2 linked regions of the Diceros bicornis minor genome follow. The protein of the gene in region 2 binds, or shares a complex with, the protein of the main gene of each other region. Links are inferred from orthologs where the notes say so. Each region holds a gene or a part of one and is shown on either strand. Other genes may lie near its edges.

Region 1 (10,405 bases), on a different chromosome or scaffold from region 2:
CCTTCCCTCAGCAGCTAATGCTACACACACACATACACACTTTGTACCTCTAGGCTGCGCTACATTACAGCCCTTAGACATTTCACTGTACTTTTTAATTTCAGGCTTGACTGTCTTCCCAACTTCTAAACTATCAACTCCCTGAGGGAAGGAGCACATCTTACTAGTCCCTGTATCAGCAGCATTAAGCTGCTGTACTTGCCACATGATAGGGGTTCAAAATTGGTAAAATGAACAAAGAATTAAGGACTTGCATCTAACTTCTCTAATGTTGGAAATGATTAGGTGGTTGCCTTCACAACAAAGCCTGTTCATATTGTAGTGCTGGATCAAGATTTCCACATTTCTGCTACAGCCCCAGGTAGCCTGATGCAGAAAGAGGTGTCAATTTTCTCTTTCAGCAACAAAGGGACTCAATACAGGGTGCAATGCAGCAGCACCCACTTCCACGCTTCAGGAAGTTATCTGGGGAAAGGCAAAGTGGGTTTCCAGAGGTCCCCACAGGCAGGTGAGATAAATCAGAAACAGCATTATCAAACCTCATTTGCAGGGAGAATCACATTTTAGAACTAACTTTTAATGAGGGGGGGAAGATTATCTATTCCCCTGTTGATGGCACTAAGTTGCCAATATGAGCTAAGCAAAACAAAAGGTAGCATGAGATAACAGTGGAAGTTACTTGCTTTCTGTTGCCTGCTCTCATAGTTCTGAAATAGCTACTGACTCACTGCTCTCATTACGAGATACTACGTGGAGGACTGGGCGTCATACCTAACGGGCTCCTTGCTGTGGCTTTGAAGCTTCTTTATCTTACTTTACCTTACAAACATGAATGCTCTGATTTGTACGGGGTCTGATACACCTATTTCACAAACCAATACTTCAACTGCCTTCACTGATTTAAACAGTTCAGGCAGCATCCAAGATCCTAACAGACTCTGCCAACTGTCAGTTTCAGCTGTTCTTTTCCGTTTCCACAATACTTCATAAACTAGTATTACAGGAGCCATAAATTTGTCTTCTGCCTAATCACTCATTTTCTTTAGAAATAATTCCTTTTGCTTAAATGTTCTCCCTAGACTTGCAATTACATCCATAATTAAGGCAAAGATAAGTTCTTATTATAACCTAACAGTCAAAAATATATTAATGACATGTGAAACACTTCACCCACAATATTAAATTTTAGATACTCGTCAGAATAAGGTAATTTAGGACTGCCTGGGTAAAACTGGGTGCAGGAGGCTATGCTTATTCTGCAAACATTTATTAGGCATAAACACCCACCCAGTGTGGAAACTTCCACAAATGCCTTCTCTGCATGCCCTTCTCTTCTAGTTCCACCTACCCATCCTCTCTTGACAACTCAGATGAAACAAGTCACTATCAATGAGAAAGTCATAGCCCCAAATATAGACTTTCAGAAAAATAATGTTTTTAACACTCCGTTTCCTCTCCAGTCCACCTTTATGGCTTTATTAAGGGCAAATATACTAGTTTATAAACAAATTTAATTACCCTAAAGTATCTAAAATGTGCTGCTACGTGTGGCAGCTTATTTTCATATTTTAAACACCAGTCTCCCTGTTATTAAGTTCATCCCAAGCTTCCCTTGGTAAAATGATGGGCATTCATGCAGCTTAAAGGTTGTGGAAAACCAATCTTCTTCCACGATGCTACTATTCCACAGTCTAGAGAGAATGCAGCCTTCGACAGGAAAAACTGCCACCTCATTTTTTTTTTTGCTCTGACATGTTTTAAACAGAAGAGCTGCAGATTCTTAAAGGAAGCCATATTTCAAAGATTCTGAATAGTAGTATTTTTCAGTATCCTGTCTCATTAAAATTGGTGCAACTCATCCAAAACATTTTTCAAATGCCATTATTTTCCAGCTTACGTGCTTAAAAACTGCTTAGAGAAAACAATCTCTCCATCTGAAAGATTTACCTCAAACCAACTAGTAATCATTAAAATAGAAAGGAGGAGAAAAAGAAAAGAATTCACTTTTACAGATTACAAAATTTTGTTAAACTCACCTAACTCCTTCATTTTACAGATAAGAAAACAGAGTCCACAGAGGTTAAGTAATTGCCTCAGATCACCAAGCTACTAATAGCAGCACTAGAAATAGAATGAGGTATTTTAACTGCTCTCAGCAGCATCCCAAATTATGCAAGTTATATATATTCTCATCACTTGTCATTTAAGTTTAAAAAACAATTATCGCTCTTTCTCCTTAATTCCTGACCAAGGGCTCCTACAATATCTACATTTTCAAATTTGTTCAAGTTAATAAACTTCAAATTTTAACTCCAACACAAAAGGTAATACTATCTAAGAACTTTCCTCTGAAAGTTTCCAGAAAGAAAGTTTAGGTGTGCACACCCCTTATACTGTCACAGTGAATTTCAGAGTCTATCCTTTCAATTCCTGTCCCTTTAGATGTGTTTGTTCAACTACAAAAAAAAAAAGAGAGAAAAGAAAATTCTGGAAGTTCCTCTTCGACAAAAAGCATTGACAATCGGTCAATGAAATGACCAGATCATTACTCCATTAATATATTATGGGTTTCTGGTTTAAACTAGGAAGACTAAGTTATTGTGTGAAGAGTTAATAAAAGGTTGGAAAATGCACTCTTGGCTGACTTTGGATTTGAAAGAAGGTGTAGATCTGACATTGTTAACACAAATTGAAGACTTGAGCTTAAAAGCAAAAAACAGAAAAAGTGACCAAGTTCCTTCAACAAAAAGCTGTTTCCTATTCAAGCTCTGATCTCCTATCAAGTGCATCGGCCATGTGCAGACCACATCAGTAAGACTTTCAGATTTTCGTTTTAATGCTCCAATAAATCACTTCTACACATTTTAGCTTTGGGTATTCAAGGGCAAAATAGAGGGCACCGTAAGGGCAACAATTTACATTGGATCATTTTCAAGGGCTGTAGTCTAACCACCCATTACTGTACAATTGTTCCTCTGTGCAACTGATTCTTCTCAAAGTACTGAGAGAACGCAGTACTTCTCTTTGAAAGATATCAGCAACAAAACCTAAAACACGATTTCGAGTACAAACTAATGCGGCAGTGTAACCAGTAAAGTGCAGACTGTGTTGTCTTCTTACACATTACTAATAAAACTATATTCTGGTTACAAACGATATACGTATGTTCCTTCATTATGACTTCCGGCGTCACTCTACAAAAATAACTTGTTAAAATGCTAACACACCTATATTTTTCAAGTACGACCAGCTTAGCAAGGTGGAATTTGCTTGAAAACACAAAACCCAGACAATCGCCACCACCGCTCAATAACACACATACATAAGCAGATTCGAAGCTGTGTTAAACACAAAAATCCTTACCCCATTTTGCCCAGTGAAAACTTGCTCTGAAGTTTCTGCTCTTATGCTCGGAATAACTTCCAAAGGAATTTCTCCGTCTGCTATTTCGCAGTCGCTTTTCCACCCCCCGAGATCCTTTTCTGGAGGTATTTCAGTGATGCTGACAATTCAATTAGTTCCCTTAGGTAAAATGATTTCTCCCTCGTAAATACCAAAACGTTCAAACAGAGGGGGCATTTGCTTATTGGAGTTAAAATGCTGCGCGGAGGAGACAGCGGTCAACTCTATTCCACAAAATGAGTCTGTGTCGTAAAGCGCAGAATCCAGCTTCACCGAGTCCTATAAAAAATGAGTTCGGTGGTCATTTCGCTCATGTCCTCCTCGACACTCAGAGAGAAGCAGGTAACTCGGCCTTTTCGGTGCTACTAAGGCTGCGGGTTCAGATTTCTCTCCCACCCCAGGTCCCTGGGGGTGGAGCGTGCAACCCAATGCGACGTGCACTTTAGAGAGCCCTAGGAGAAAATAAAAATCCTAAAAGCAGTAATGCCACTGCTTCCCTGCGCTCACATTAGAAAAAGCGATGTAGAAAAATCTCCTCGAAGTGCAAACCCTGCAGCTCGCGACGTGCACGGCACTCCACATTGGAGTCTGTCTGTGAAACGTCTCCCCTTCTAAGACTCGGAGCAGAGAGGCGGTGGGGAGGAGGAAGAGCAGGCTGGGCAGGATCGCTTCATTCTCCCGAGGAGAATAGACGGAGCCATTTCCAGGCTGGCAGCAGGCTGGGGGCGCCGCGCACGCCGGGGAGCGGGGGGCGGGGGCGCGATCCCCCTCCCTCAGCCCCTGCCCGCCCCCCGCCGCCCAGCACAATGGAGCCTGGCTCGCGCCCGGCCCTTCATTCGCCGCGGCCCCTCTCCCCTCCTCTCTTCGGAGCACCGCAGGTCCGAGGCTCCCGTCGGCGGGGAATGAATGAGTCACAGAGCCGAGCCGCGCGCCGCCGCCGGCCCCCAGCTCCGGGGCGGGCCGAGCCGCGGCGGAGGACGGGGCGGGAAGGTCGACGGGCGCCCGCCCGAGCTGAGGCGGGCGGCTACTCTCGCGTCGAAGGCAGGGGCGCGGGGCTCGAAGCCGCGGGAGAGCCGCTACTCCAGCGCCCCCACCCTGCTCCTCGCCTCTCCCGCTCCGCGCCGCCGCCACAGTCCCCGGGCCCCGCCGCCGCCTCACACTTCCCTCACCGCCCGCCTCCCCCGGCCTCCGGCTCCCGCTCGGCAGAGCAGCGCCGGCCCAGGCGGCCTGGAGCCGCCGCTGCCTCCGCCTCCACCGGCCGCTCGCGGAGCGGAGCGCGCCACTTCCCAGTCAGCGCCGCCCGCGGGAGGCGAGCGCGGCCGCCGGGCGGGCAGGGGGCGGGGAGAGCGGGGGGCGGGCCCTCCCCCTGCTCGCGGGAGGGGGCGGGAGACGGCCGGCCCCGCGGAGCCGCGGCCGGGCGCCGGGGGCTGGCGCGCCGACCCGTCCCGAATGCCCGGCGGGGCTCTGCGGGCAGCGGGAGGGAGCGGCAGCCGCGCGGGCGGCGGGAAGGCTGGTGGTCAGCGGCCCAGCCGGCCCTCGAGGGGAGCAAGTCCGGCCGGCAGGTCCGTCAGTCCGTCCGTCCTTCTTTCCTTCCTTCCCCCCTCCCCTAGCGGCCGGCGGCGGGCGGCCCGCGCGCTCTGCTCTTCCGCTGGCTTCTGGCCCCGCTCCCGGCCGCCACTGCCTCCTCCACACCCCACACCAGGTGCTCGCGCTGTGTCTCCATCCTCCCCGCAGGAGGACCTTTAAATAGCAACGTCAGCGCGCTTCTCTCCGCACACACGTCACCCGCCGCTCACGTCACCGGGGTGCGGGGGATGATGTCACGCGGCCGGAAGTACTGCTAAATTAGGGAAGGAGCAGGGGGAGGAGGAGTCCGCGAGCTGCTCTGTGCCCACCTGCTCTCGCTTCAGCTTAAAGGCCAAAGCACAGGAGACAGCCCGAGAGGAGCTCGGCGAAGGAAGCGGCGGGAGGAGGAGATTTCCTTGCAACAAATGTGCCAAACACAAGTGAATCATTCATAGCAACACTGCTGAAGTGTCAAGCGGGTGACATCGAATCTTCCACTCCCACCTCTGTTGCAGCAGCATCCGCGGGCTTCTCAAGTCCCAACTCGCACGGAAATGTGGGAGGAGAGCCTGCTCACTAGTGGTAGATAGGTTTCCAACAAGACTTGGGGAAAATCACCTTAATTTTCGAAAGACATTAAATGCCATTCCGGACGCAGTCGATTTTAAAACTTTTTTTTTTTTTCTGCTTAGTGGTTACCTAAATCACGGAAGGATAAAGAGCGGAGCCATGAACAAATGTTGTAATGTTATAAAGAATAGTAATTAAGGGGGGCATCAAATCATCTAAATGTTTTCATTTGCAAAACAGCAATGTTTTGGCATAGGATAAGTCAATCTTAGAAAGTTCACTCGTGGTTATTGTTACACGCATAGCAAATGCCAGTATATATCCTCTCAGTTCAGGTTTATAGAGAATATGAGTTCCAGTCTATGGAAATTAAAAATAAGAAAGACCACCAAATCCTTTTTATAATATTAACACAAGCACATTTAGATTGTTTTTGTCTTCCTTGGCTTTGACCATGTAATATGTAATTACTGTATCTCTGAAGTATGTTGTTTTTCATTTCCTATATGGCAAGGGTGAGTAGCCTTTTATAGGTTTATTAGCCGTGTGTGTGTGTTTGTGTCTATAATAAATCATATTATGAATGCTTTTCAAATTGCAAATTTCTACAAAGTTTTAAAATGTCATTATTTTGATAGTTTATTATTAGGTAGACTCAAATAATGAGCTTTGATTTGATTTAATTTGATAATCATGACCCAGAAATACGATTATTACATAATGCCAAAGGCCATCGCTGTTTCACAGTTAGTCTATAAATTCAGGGACCACGTTTTCCAAACCAAAATCCGGACACATCATTTGACAAGAAACCAAATACATGAAATCTGAAGTGACCTGGAAAATCCAGGACATAGGATTACCAATCTATAAAATGATTGTTAGGAGAGCTATAAATGGATATCAGAACAGTTTAAATAAAAGAAGCTAGAACTCCACCGAATTTATACCATTTGTGGTTAAAAAAAAATTTGGTTTTTCAACTTTCTGCATCTACATTTTCTTGATTGAGTTAGGAGTCCAAGATTAAAGGACACTAGCCAAAAGAGTTAGGACCGATTTGCAACTAAATCAGGCTTTTTGGTTATCTTCACATTATAAAATCATGATCTTGCTTGTAATTTGAAATATTGAAAGTAGTTTTTTTAAAGGTTATAACAAAAGTTAATCAAAAGCAAACCCCTGCTTGCTAATTTGTTTAACATATACTATCGTATTAATAGTACTGATTTATATTTCAGATGAATGGAGCTTCTTACTTATGTATAAAATATTAAAACAATAAAACTGTCATTTTTCAAATAATGTCATCCCTTTGGCCCTTGCAAATTAAAATACAAATTATTACTCTATTAAAATTTCTCTACAAACTATTTCCTATCTGAACTAAATCACTTTTCTCTCTTTCCTGCTCTTTCCATCCACGTTAATTAAAGCTTTCACTTTACCATTTTCAAACACTTCATTCTACCCTTTCATCAAGACTTCCTCTGGTTTACAGTCTTATTCCCCCTCATCTTTACCCAACTGTCAAAACAGCACATCAGCTGCTTTTAGAATGGTGACCCTTCATTAGAGTTTCTACTTTTCAAAGCTACATGATTTCTTCTCAACTGCTCTTTTGTTGACTGAAAATTGAGAGCAACTTTTTTTCTATATAAATTGAATTGTGCATTGTGATATAATTACTCAAGGTTTATGTGATTATTTAACTTCAGCCTCCACTCTTAATCTAGAAAATTCTACCAATAATTGGTCAATTTTTCTTTCTAGCTTGTGTGGGATTAGTATATCAGGGAATACATATGTCTATGTACCCAAAGGAATAAATAAAACATGTATCATGGAATATCTGCTCAGAAAAAAAATAATAAAGTAAGTGCCTTTTCTCTTCTCTTGAAACAATTCCAATACAATTTTGAGAGGAGTCAGAGAACCATTCTATGACTTTCCATCTAAAAGTAAATATCTTTTCTTCTAAAATTGAGCTCATGTAACCCAAATGCAAGCCATGAATTTCCAACCCTGATTGCTTTGTATGTTTTTTCAAGTAGTGAGCTTCCTAGAAAGTAATATATTTTCTTTTACCGGAAGAGGCAGAAAGTACTTTAGTAGAGTTTCAAATTTTTAACAGTTCCTATTTCCCACTACACTGTGAAAATTTGTGGAGAGGTTTATGAATATCCTCTGATTTTAGAACCTGTGGGCGAAGGCATCTGTTTTAGTTACAGAGTTTACTTCCGTGCCCTTAATAGGAGATGGCAATGGGGTGTTCATAGACTGGTCATGAGATATCTCTTTTTCAATGAAAAGACATCCAGGAGATAGAAAAACTTTGCGGGAAAGAGGGTTAAAGCCAGATTTTGTTTTTAATTGCTTAACATTAGATAATAGCAACTCCCTTTCAAATTCCCTCTTTTTAATTACCAAAATACCACTATTGCTTCAAATAAAGTCATAGGTAGAAATAATAAGTTAAAAGATATCTCTGCATACATAGAAATATCAAGATTCCTAGTTTATGCCACACAGTTAGGAAGAAACTAAATAAGCAGTCAAGACTAAAAGTAGTGATAAGAAAAGAATGAAGGATTTGTAGGGAAACAGAATTTATCCGGTTGATTCTCCAAAGGCATCCCACTTGCTCCAGAACACAGCAGATACTGAATGTCAGTAAAATGTGTTTGGCTTGTTTACAACCGTCTTTTGTTATCACCAATAATGTTCTGAACAGAAACAGGCTAGTTAATGGTCTCAAGGATGAGAGTAGAAGTGTTTGGCACCTCCAACACGATGGCTTGAGGACAGTTTTACTCTTCTGAGTGTCTGCACTATTTTATCAGAGGGTTTGGGAGTGGTGGAGGGAAGAAAGTTAGGTAATTATCCTCAGAAAAGGTATGATATAGAGCGCCTGGGAAACAATCTCATAGAACTCTCTCTTGCTCTGATTTTTACGGTAAATTCATTACATATATTCTAAATATCTCTAAAGAGATAGAGATCCCAGACTTGTGAAAGAACATATCCCAGACTTGTGAAAGAACATATCGGAAAGTTTTCAGTTGGTGCTACGAGAAAATCATTGTACAACTATGCATGTAATTTTTTTAAATATTCCAAAGAGATGGGGATATAAAGCCTTTGAAAAAATTATCTAGCATAACTTCAGATTGTTTGTTCTTTTATTTGGTTGTTTCATTGGTTGGCTGATTGTTCCACACAGGAGTTACAGAGAACAGGCTGCAAAAATATGCAGATCTGCAGAGAGCTACAGTAAAGAACGTGGAGTAAAGCTTGTGCTATACCTGTGCAGTTACCTAGAATGGAATGCTGCGGAAGCCGATTCCCATGGTAACCAGTAATCTTTTTCCTGAATGGGGGAACAGGACAACCATGAGGAAAATGTTTTAAATGAATTACCTTATTTTGTGGTTCTTTTGGTGCCAGCTCGGAGAAAAATAACACCCAAAGTATTTAGGACAGCCCTGCTTGTGAAAGGAAGTTGCCTTCTTTTGAAAGAGACGAAGCTGAGGCAAAAATTTGGGGCTATTTCAAAGAGAGATAGGGCTTTAAGATGGCAATTGGAAACTCTTTGAAGCAGAACGTAATTGGTAAAGACTCCAGCGTTGCTCAAGTGGGCAGAATCAATACCTAGCAATTGTGTTAAATGTTCCCCCAATCATAAGAGGTCAGACAATAAATAAAGACTCTTACCATATGGGAGTTTCAGCCAAGATATTTCTCGAATTATTTGTGAGGCTTTTTATTTCTTTTAATCTGGTTCTAAATAGTAATTTCTCTAAAAATTAAAATGAAAATGGTAACTATATCTTTAGTCAATGTCTATTCTATTATTTTAATAATGAATTATATTTGATCATATACATGATAAATATGTATATAGATATAAATAGATAGATCACTATAAAATGCCTGGATTCACTGGGTCATCTGCTAGAATGAAATCCACACTGCATGTTTTGGCATAAGAGGCATTCACTCATGATCGGTCCCCCGCCCACCTTTCTTACCTTGGTTACCACCCTCCCCTTCCCCCATTGCTAATGTGTGAGTTTATATCAACTGCAAGGAACAGAAACCCCACCTAATGGTGCATTAAGCTATAAGATTGTTTTTTTGTTGCTTATTTCCGTAATAAGAAGTCTGAAGGCAGGTGGTCCTACAGTTGACTGGGAAGATCCGAGGTGTCCTTAGATTGCAGGCTCTTTCCAGCCTTTCACCTTGCCATCTTCATGTGTTGTCTTTTAAGCCTGGCTTGTTGTCTCATGATTGTTGGAAGACTATTGCATTTCCAGGCATCAGATTCTCACAAAGAACATCCAAAGCAGAAAGGGAGGGAAAGAGACTGAGGAATTTTCTCCTTTAAGCCTGTTTCTTAGCAGGGAGAAAAATCCTCAAGAGGCCCCCAGAAAATTCCCTCTCACGTCTCATTGGCCAGAACTAGGTACATGCCCATCCCTAAATCAATCACTGACAGTTTGGCATAAGATTTTCATGAGTCACTTAGAAAAAGGGTAGTTTATCCCTTGAGTCTGCATATTGTGTCTGAACAAAATTAGAGCTCTCTCAGCAAGGAAGAAGAGGTGATGGCTATTGGGCAAGCAAACCACGCATTTGCCACACGGCCCAAAGCCACGCTGGTATTCCTGCTGCTCTTCAAATGTGACAGGATTGTTCCAAATGCAGGGCCTTTGCCACCTGGTCACATATGCCTGAGATCTTCACACTACTCCTCATTCAAATCTATGCTCAATTGCATCTGTTGAGAGAGACCTCTGGAACATTCTTTATAAAATATCTAGATATTCATAGCCACCTACCCTCCACTTAATTTGCTTAATTTTCT
Region 2 (10,157 bases):
TGACTACTCTTAGCTTTCAAACCTTGATAATCAATACTGCAAGAAACTGGTCATTAAAACCGTTCATATATATATATAAAAATTTGTGGTGTATAAAACTTATACTATTTTCAAATAAATAAGCCAAATTTCTTGGTTAGTGGTGCTGCCAAGAAATAGTTTGTAGAGGGCTTTAGCAGCCACCGTGAAATAATCTCCAAAACCACCCAAGTCATCATGCCCAATACTAATTTATAAAGACAATTGACATTTTATCAACCTTATGTATAACTGAAAAAAGTCATTTTTAGAAAGTGTGCTTACTCTTCTTCTTTATTTGAACTGTATAATCTAGATAGAAGCAGTGTGCACTCTATGCACATGCAGATTTAAGACCACTTTGGCCCATCCTTCCATTATATTGCTGCTCTAAAGACCAAGCTGCATAGGAATTCTGAGCTGTGGCTAGGAATGACCTGCTAAAATTCATCAAAGCAAAGGCAACTGGGTAGAGAAAATAGGAGCTTGACATCACAGCTTAGACACATGAGAATTTGCATTCCACTTCTCTTCCTTTTCTTTCTGTTTTCTTACTGCAGAGTATAGAGAAAGTAACAGTTCTCTGAGGGCAGTGGGGCAAAAAAGAATTAAAACCTTCCCCGTGATTAGGTCAGACAACCCAGGCTGGGTGAACAGAGCCTGTGGCCAAGTCAGAATATCTGACTCCTTCGAAGATAAGCAGCTCAAGTTCTTTGATGTTCAGGGAGGCCTTCCAGCTCTGAAATTCTACAATTCTTTCATAAACCAAAGATTAAAGTCAAACCAGTCAAAAGGACTCAACCTAAGACCCAGAGCCAGATGATAAATAAAAAGTGAAAATTGATGAGAATGACATAAACCTTTAAAATATTTAGCATTACTTCTGAAAAAAATGTGCCCTTATGGCGAATGTTGATTTATGTAAGGTATATTATAGATTATACATGTTTCAAAGTAAACTATCATATAATAAGATAAGATATGTAATGTACTATATTATGTAACATATACTACCTGAAAAGAAATTGTAATATACATACATATACACACACACACATATTTAATTAATTAGGTTTGAGTTGAGAACTACACACAAAGATGTTAAATAGATCATGGGTCTGAATTGACTTAGAGTATGAATTGTATTGTAAATCATTTCTAGAACTATAATCTGATGGCTATATATATTTATTTATATGTATAAATATACATATGAATCTCCTGCAAGTTTGAAAGTTAGAGATACTTCCATCAGTAATTACTTACAATACAATATTATACATAATGTTATATATATAATATTTTTATAGAGTTAAGTGTACAACAAAATTTAAGGAAAATGCCACAACGTGAGTATACAAAGTTGGCCAATTAATCAAGGCTAGAAACGTTCAGACACTGAAATGAATTATTGAATTGGAACTAATGTTGCCATGAACAATTATAATAAGCAAATTACACACATCCAGCAGTGATTTTAAATAGCATTTACCACTGACATCCTTTCAGTTGGAGCAAATAGACAGCAATCAATAGCTGCCATAACATACTTGTGTAATCCATTCTACCCGGCCATGTCAGCCTGAAGTGATACTGATGAGGCCCCTGCAGTGACTATTCAGCATGTCTGGTATTCTAGAGCATACACAGCATAAAAACTTGAGAGACTTGTTCTTCAGGGTGAAAAAGAACTATGATCTTAACACAACTCACAACATATTTCCTCTTAAGGAGTGAATTATACTTTAGGAAAACATTTTGAAAAATCACTTGGCTGGGAAGTTGAGACGCCGAAGTCATGAGGAGAAAGTAAGTGACAAGGTGACAAAAAAGACAGCTAAGTTGCCCTACATTAGAACTGAACAGAAATCTGGGACTAGAGGAAAAGAACAGAGGAGAAGAGAGAGGAGAGAAGGCCAAGGACCATGTTGCCATGGCCAACGGCTTTTGAGAACAGGCATATTTAATACTTTATTCGGTCAATCCATATTTGACTTTAAGTTACTTATGTTGCCTTGGAGAGAATCATATTCTCATGCTAATAACTATCCTCCTTACTGTCCATGAACTTAGCTTGTCAGATTGCTTCTATGCTTTTCGATTTAGTTCTTTTCCATAAAGTTCCTTAATGCATCTCACAAATGGATCCCTGGTGGGCCAGATACACTAGCTGTCCAGAAAGCTCAAGTACTCTGAATTCTCCAAGAGTGAGCAACACGAATTTTCAGTCTGGGCTCCCAGCTTGTTTGTTCCCAGTTCAAAACATAGCTCATGTTTGATTCTAGAGATTAATCTCAGGAAGCTTGAAGAAGTTGGGTTTTTCGCGTTGATCATGACTCCCTTTTAGGCAGTTGTGGGGAGAAAGGGACTCAAATTCAATACTTTTATAATTATATTGTAACAATGTGTGTTCAGTCCCCTCCTGGGGAAAGCAAGCCAGGAGAAGGGATAGAGCAGAAGACACGGTGAGTGTGGGTGGCTGTAATTATGGATGATAACAAAATCAAGGGAGTAGCCAGAGATGAGAGTCAGTTGGGTGATGGAAAAGGGAAGATCACTAAAGCAGAGAGGGGAATCTAAATAAGTCAGCAAAGAAAAAGTCAAAGCCAGAAGCAAAATTTGAGAATAGGAATTAGAAACCCTGAGAAAAGACGGCAGATAAAACAGTGATGGGACAAGCTATTGGTGATAGCTTGATCCTGGGTGAAGCTTGGAGACACTGTTTTTTAAATCTCCTCTAGTTGCAGAGTCCCTGAAACGGATGAAAGCATTGCAATTTTGCATTTAGATTCAACACAGTAAATGAGTATTGATGATGTATCAGATACATCATCAAAAGATTAATCTTTTTATTATTCAGTTGACAAAAATGTACAAGATATTTTCTATGTGCCATGCTTTTGTTTAGCTATTGTAGATACAGCTATGAATGCAAGATCCTAAATTCCTGGAATTTTATATTCTAAAAAGGAAGACAGGAAAATAAATGTAAAATATAATATCAAGTAGTTGATAAATGCTGTGAGAAAAATTAGAACAATAGAAGGTGCCAGAGAGAGACAAACATGAATTTAGAGAAGATTTTCAGATGAAGATATTCTGAAAAAGGGATATTTGAACAGAGAACAGAATGAAGAAAAGGAATAAGCCTAGTAAATATCTAGGACACAAGCATTTCAGAGGGAACAGCAAGAGCCTGTCTTCAGCCTTCCTCTCATCCAAGTTCCAAATAATAGGAACAATAAACACAAAAGCAATCTAAAAGGAGATCAAACAATATTTATTACCGGAAAAGTTAATGCTCAATTATCCTCAAATGTAGGATTTCTGGATTACTGGATTAGAGAGTATATGTTTAAACTGGTATTATAATGGACCATCTCACTGCTTCCTTGAATCTAAAACTTGGGGCATACGTGATGGGGATCTGAGATCTGTAGCACAAGCTTTATCCACTTTGTCAGGTACCTGCTCATGCACCAAATTGCCTGCAAAATGGAGAGCTCAAAAATGGCAGGCCAAATTTTAAGGAGAAGGTAGTATAGTCAGGGGATGTATCTGTCCTTGTCTGATGGTGTGTTTATTGCATGGAAGCAATGCATATTTGAGAAGACAAGAGAATATGAGCACCCACTGTGCTTGAGAGCAAACATAGTCCAAACAAGAGAATATGTCTTCTGTGAGCAGTGAGTTTGAATACAGAACACGAACTTGTAGAGGAAATATGGTCTATTGGAAGACAAAATTCTCACCAGTCCAATTACTTGTTCTTATTCATACAGGGAAGAATGTACAGGGGGAAATGTGGGGTAGTAAGACAGAAATTCCCTTACAGCACTTCTCCAGAAGGGCTAAAGTGAGAATATCACAAAAAAGGAGGTTTCCTTTGACATTCTTCAGATTTTTGTTCTTTCAGCCCAATAGGGATGTCAATCAAGGGTATTTATAAGCCCATTGAGGAAAAGACTAGCAACAAATCATGGTTCTTCGGCACTCACCTTTATCATGTTGCTCCTTAATCTCTACTGCCATTGATCCTTTCTATTCTCCTAGGACAGGACATGGGTAGTTTAGTGTTTATGTTCAGATGAATCTAAAAGGTTAAAGAAAGGATATTAATTATGTTTCATTCCAGTTTAATTTCCCATCTTAAGTTTTTTTTAATCATGTAGACCCGTGTGTCTCACCAGGGGTTGTAGGACAATGAGTGCTGTGAGTCATCATAAGATTACTCACAAAAATAGAGTTTTTATAATATAAAAAAATCCATGTTTAAATAATATTAGTTCCCTCCTCGTAGTAAGAAAATTTAAGTCCAAAAAATGAAATCACCCATTCCTCATAGTCTAAAGAAATTCAAATCAGAAGTTTTTAACTACTTACTATTGTAATACGCTCAGTCTCAGCTCAAAGAATTTCTCTCATATAACATCTGGATTCCTCTGCTTAGCTGTGATTCATATAGCATCTTCAGAGTTATGTTAATTCTACTCTAAGACTCTTGGAAGTTCCACTTTTATAAAGAGTTCAAAGAGTCAATAAGACTCAGAAAAATACCACACAATCAGCTCTACAGCTACACATGCTTTTTTTCTCCAAAAAATGTAAAACAAAACATAGTGCTTTAAAAAGTTGTGCTAAGCAAAATTTTGTTTCCAGCAACTAAGACTTAGTATAGTTCAGATTTTCATTACAAAAGACCATAGCAAAGACATCTAGATGCTATTTTGGGAGATGGGAATTGGCGAGATAAATCATGTGAAAAATATCAAATGCTCTTATACTCTTTCAAAACTTAAAAATTTGCAATACTGTCGCATCAAGACATCTTACTGAGGCTGCCTTCTTCCCCTTAGTGTCTTTCCCACATCGAGTCCAAATGTCTTCCAATATCAATATCTTAGTTTTCTTGGTGTCATCCAAGGAGAGTCTTACTTAAATGGAACCTTGTTTTCTTTATAATACTCCCCTTTTGAAAACCTAAGTTTTCATATTTATTCTACATTTCCAAAGAATCAGAATCAATGTAACCACAATAGAGCTGCTGCTATCCTCTTTCCCAGCACTCCCTGCAACCACCATCCTCCAGTATACAAATATGCTAGAGATCAACAGGGAGGGTTTTCCATAGGTTCTATCTAATGAAAAGACTAGAATTAAGAAAAAAATCAAAGTGAAGACCTTTTAATCAGCCAAGCAACTGCCCAACAACCCCAAAGTACTAGCCCCTCAAGGTAAAGCAGACTGAAGAATGTGGGCTAGAGATAAGTCAAATAGACTCCTTCTACAATCCACCCATATTTACAGCCTGGAACAGCCACCTATGGAAGGAGCTGACTTCATTAGCTGTAAATAATTCAGGCCTACCACACTTACCACTTACAGGGAAAGGAGAGGAAGACAGAGACAGACAGTGAAAGAGAACACACACACAGACAGGCAAGGAGAAAGAGGAGATAAAGACACACACACACAGGGGCTGACAGAGAGAGAGAAAGAGAGGTAGGGGATAGACAACTAACTGCCTTTAGAAGTCAGTCTTAGGACCCTGACCCAAGGATTCTTACCACATGGAGTCAGGAAGCAGAGGAGAGTCTTTCATTGATCTTCTTACTCATTATGAGAGAGGCAGTGCAAGGAAAAGGGTAGAGTATATTTCTTAATACTTACAGTGACTCTAACAGCTAGCAGAACAATGTTGCTCATTATAGGTCAGAGCCTCAGGAATAAGATTAACTGCTCTTTCTCTTATGATCAGGGGCAAGTAAAGAGATTCATAGAAGATGGATGTTGCCTTCTTATCATAATGTCAGAGAACAAAAGATCTGTAGAAGTGCTCTTCTCTAAGAGCACAAATGGTAATGTGGAGAAGGGAAAAAGATATCTCCCACTATACCCACCACTCATTATAATTCCAGGTGGATTTTGTCATGGAAGGTATGAGTTTGAAGCCAGGAGCAGAAAGAAGTGACTGGTAGGTAGAAATGTTGGAGAATTTTCTGCAAAGGAAGTGACATTTGTAAGACATTTTGAACGTTAAGTAGGATTTTTATCAGGCAGTCAAGTTGAAAAGGGCATTCCAAATAATAAGAGCAAAAACTTAGAGATATAAAGTATATAGCTCATTTGGCAAATAGTGAGAATTCAGTCAGAAAAGTCTTATGTTACTGGAATTGACAGTGAGAGAGAAATGAAGAATAGTGTGTGTGTGTGAGTGTGCAGGTGTGTGTGAAAAAGGCATTTTGTTCACATATGGTTCTTTTAAAATGTCACACTAAGGATCTAGATGTTAGTCTTTAGCAATGGGAAACCAATAAAGAAATTTTCAGTAGAGGAATGATGTAATCTGATAGATGATTTAGGAAAAAATATCTTTAGTGGACATGTGGAAGATGAGGATAGAAGGCTCAAGTTCATGTGATCTCAAGGCCTTTCTGACCCAGGCAATTCCATCCACATCATTGGTGCAATGCTCCCCATCAGGTAAGGAGTTTTGTGATTTTCACATAGGGCAGAACCTCTTTGACAACTTTGGGCCTCAATAGCTCTTGGAAATGCTCCGAGTGAGGGCTTGACAAATATAGATATGGCACTACCAGTCAGAGGATCAATCATTGAGTAGCAAGGGAGACTGTGAGTTCTCAACCCTGCCTGTGATTATAATCAGCTGGAGATTGTAGGGGAAAAAAATTTGCTACCAAAATGTATCTTTTTGGCTTGATTATTTTTAAGAACAAAAGACTGAGGAAGAAACTTTGACCTCCCCTCTAACTGCCTAAAAGAATTTAAGATAGAAGGCCTGTTTCAGGAAGGAGCTATCACCATAGATAACTATAGCATAATATGAAGTAGGTCTGGTAGACAGGGAGGAATCTAGCAAGGCCTGTTTGATCAACATCGTCTCCATGTCCCACTGTCTCTGCACGTCATGGCAAAGATTTATTTACCAAACATTTGCTTTTACATCTCCTTGTGAATTGTCTGTCTCCCCTTTGAAGTCCCAAAGCACTACCCCAACATCCTCCTTTGTCTTTGGCTGAAGACAGTATTTAAAATGGTAGCTTTGACCATTTTGGCCAGTTACTCAGTTTTCCTGGGTTTCTCCCTTGTGTACATGTTATTAAATTTGTTTGACTTTCTCCCATTCTTCTGTCTCATGTCAATTTAATTCTTAGACCAGTCAGAAGAACCTAGAAGCGTAGAGGAATATTTCTCTCTCCCCTACATGAGCTTAAAAAAAATTATATAGATATATACTGAGGTCAGAGCCCCATGTCCCAAGATTCTAGTGAAGCTTATGTATTAACATTTCTTAAAACAACTCGCTGGGTGATTTTAATATCCAGCCAAGTTGACAACCCTTGCTTTGAATTATTACTGCCTGTTGTTTAATGGTTACCCATTTATCATGACAGATGTCAATTGCATTTGTTTTGTTTGTTTGTTTGTTTGTTTACTTATGTAGAAGCTGTCTGAGTTTGAATAAGTATAATTAAAGAGCATGATAAAACAAGAAATTGAAATCTGGATTATAATCATATTTTCAGATCTCAGAGCAACTCAGGCTCACGTCTTTTGAGTTTCATTTTTCCCATTTGAGAAATGATAAGATAAACAGGTATTTATTTATCACATGATAATAATAATTCAAAAGAGAAATAGATCTTATGTTGAGTGGAGCACACTATGAAGAGCCACTGCAAAAAACTCTACAGGCAAAAGAGAGACATATTTAGGCATGTGTTTAAAAAGAATATTGTAGCAAGTTAGAGAAACAGATGCAAGGAAGAGAAGCTGAAGGTGTGGAGAACAGCAAGGAAACTGTTTCAAATGTCTATACAAGAGATTATGAAGCTCTAAAGAGAAATGAAGCAGTGCACTCATGATGAAGTAAATGAATCAAGTAGGAGAAGTATTTTTGAGTTAGACTTGTTCTTAAATGTTGTAGGTGAGGAAAAATAATTTTCTCTCTACCCTTGTAGATTCTTGGCTGAGATTCCTGTGAAATAAAAGATGGACAAATAGGAGAAAAACAAACAAAAGTTGAATAACATGTATATCTCTGTTGGGAGAGGTCCAGGAAAACCGGGTAACTCTCTGAAATGGCCCAAGCCACCGCCTTAAATGCCATCTCCAGCTAGAGACAAAAGAAGATGTTGAGTGGTGGGACAGCCAGTTATGTGAGGCTATCAGGAAAAGCACGGTAAACAAGGATACGGTTATTATGTAGATTTAAGTCTGTGCCTTCTCCATTGACAAAGAGTTTCTACAGATTTAGCCATCCTCCTACTCCTATTACAGAGAGAAACACACCCTTATAAATAGAGATTTTCCTTATAAATGTAAATTCTTGTCGTTAGATGCCCTCAAGTCGACCCTATGAATGAGTGATGTCCACAATGTCCTGTCCTCAACAGCCCTACCCAAATTCTGTAGACTCATGTCCCTGGCTGCCTTTATGGAGTCAATCCACCTCATATCTGGTCTTCCTCTTTTTCTGCTGCCTTCTACTTTTCCCTGCATTATAGTCTTTTCCAAAGAATCTTGCCTTCTCATGATGTGCCTAAAGTAGGACAGCCTCAGTGTTATCATTTTTGCCTCCAGCAATAATTTAGGCTTAATTTGCACTAAGACCCACTCGTTAGTCTCTCTGGCAGTCCACATGGAAATGTCTTTTACAGTAGGATAACTTCTTGGTTTTCAGAACTTTTCCTATGTCTACTGTTTCTTAAAAAGTAACCAGCTCAAAGGGCAGGCCAGGTGGCCCAAGCGGTTATGTGCACATGCTCCGCTGTGGCGGCCCCGGGTTCACCGGTTCAGATCTCTGGCGGGCACCGACGCACTGCTTGGCAAGCCATGCTGTGGTGGCGTCCCATATAAAGTGGAGGAAGATGGGCACAGAAGTTAGCCCAGGGCCAGTCTTCCTCAGCAAAAAAAAGAGAAGGATTGGCAGATGTTAGCATAGGGCTGATCTCCTCACCAAAAAAAAAAAAAAAAAAAAGTAATCAGCTCAAGATTATTCTTATGCCAAAGAGGTATATTTTAGGGTGGCAAATTCTGCTCCCCTTCAATGTTTATTGGTTTAAATAAGGAGAATGAGAAAGTGGAAATTTTTGTAAATACCTCCCAGATTTTTTTGCTTGGGAAGCTAAAATAGAGGAAGCAGCAATTTAGAAGATATAGATTTGGAAATATTTTTTTTAAGAATATGTACTTAAAACTATAAAAGTTTAGATATCTTCCCAGAGGGAGAAAATAAATAGATTAAAGGAAAGAGCTGAGAATAGGACCTTGAGAAACTTCTACATAAGTGATGATAGGAGGAAGAAAAGCAAGTGAAAGAGTAGGTGGAATGATCAGAGGAGGAGGAAACCACAGAAAACCAAAGTGAGGAGAGTTTCCAAATAGAGGAGGAAGATAACACAACCGGTATGCAGAGAGATGTCCAAGAATGAAAACTAAGAAAAATTCACTATTGCAGCCACCAGGAATCTACTGCTGACCTGGGAGAGATGTGTTTCCTACTATCAGGGAACTGTAGTCAGATGAGAGGGTAAAAGTAAGCGGGAATTGGGCTGTGAAATGAAGGCAAGGAAAAGCAATCCTGAAAGAATCAAGAGAAGGTCTTTCTGTGAAGGGAAGACTTGATTAACTTCAGGGCAGAAGGCAAAACTGGTGTGGATTGTGATATGGGGATGGGGGCAGGGCTTGGGAAGAGATGCAAAAGAGCAAAAGAGCAAGTTGCAAGAGAAATCGAAGAATGGGAGGAGGGGTTAAAGTCTCCTTCCTCTGAAAAAAGTGGAATTTTCTAGCTAAAGTAAAACATCAGGTTATCTGCCAACAGGAAGCAAGTGTGTAAAAAACGTTTTGGAGCATCCTTTGTAGGAAAGGCAAATAGTAGAAGTGAAGGTCCAGTTGAAGTTTAACAAATTTAGTTTGTATTTGACCAGATGGTCACAGGCCTATGATATTTTTTCCTAGTGGTATCACTCTGGGAATCTAGGAGAGAAACATTGATGAGTCTCACTGGATATCCTGCTTATTTTGAGTAGAAAAGGATAGGGAGGAAATATTTATGAGATTAATAAGAATACCTTTCTTCTGACCGTGTATTAAAAGCTGTGGAAAAAAAAAACCTC

Evidence for each region.
Region 1: the proteins of GRM5 (region 2) and HOMER1 are in contact, whole or in part, in a crystal structure (PDB 1DDV), measured with the Rattus norvegicus proteins. The link is inferred for Diceros bicornis minor from reciprocal best matches to the Homo sapiens genes GRM5 and HOMER1. Residues at the interface, in XP_006229721.1 of Rattus norvegicus: Thr1155, Pro1156, Pro1157, Phe1160; in NP_113895.1 of Rattus norvegicus: His12, Phe14, Trp24, Thr70, Ser71, Gln72, Lys73, Phe74, Gly89, Phe90.

Annotation. Positions count from the first base shown.
Region 1 is NC_080740.1:8,251,097-8,261,501, forward strand, and holds the start of HOMER1 (homer protein homolog 1), read right to left. Parts: upstream 4,162-10,405; 5' UTR 3,369-4,161; coding exon 3,364-3,368; intron 1-3,363. UniProt on the Homo sapiens protein: Postsynaptic density scaffolding protein. Binds and cross-links cytoplasmic regions of GRM1, GRM5, ITPR1, DNM3, RYR1, RYR2, SHANK1 and SHANK3.
Region 2 is NC_080746.1:44,041,884-44,052,040, reverse strand, and holds the start of GRM5 (metabotropic glutamate receptor 5), read right to left. Parts: upstream 4,114-10,157; 5' UTR 4,017-4,113; intron 1-4,016. UniProt on the Homo sapiens protein: G-protein coupled receptor for glutamate. Ligand binding causes a conformation change that triggers signaling via guanine nucleotide-binding proteins (G proteins) and modulates the activity of down-stream effectors.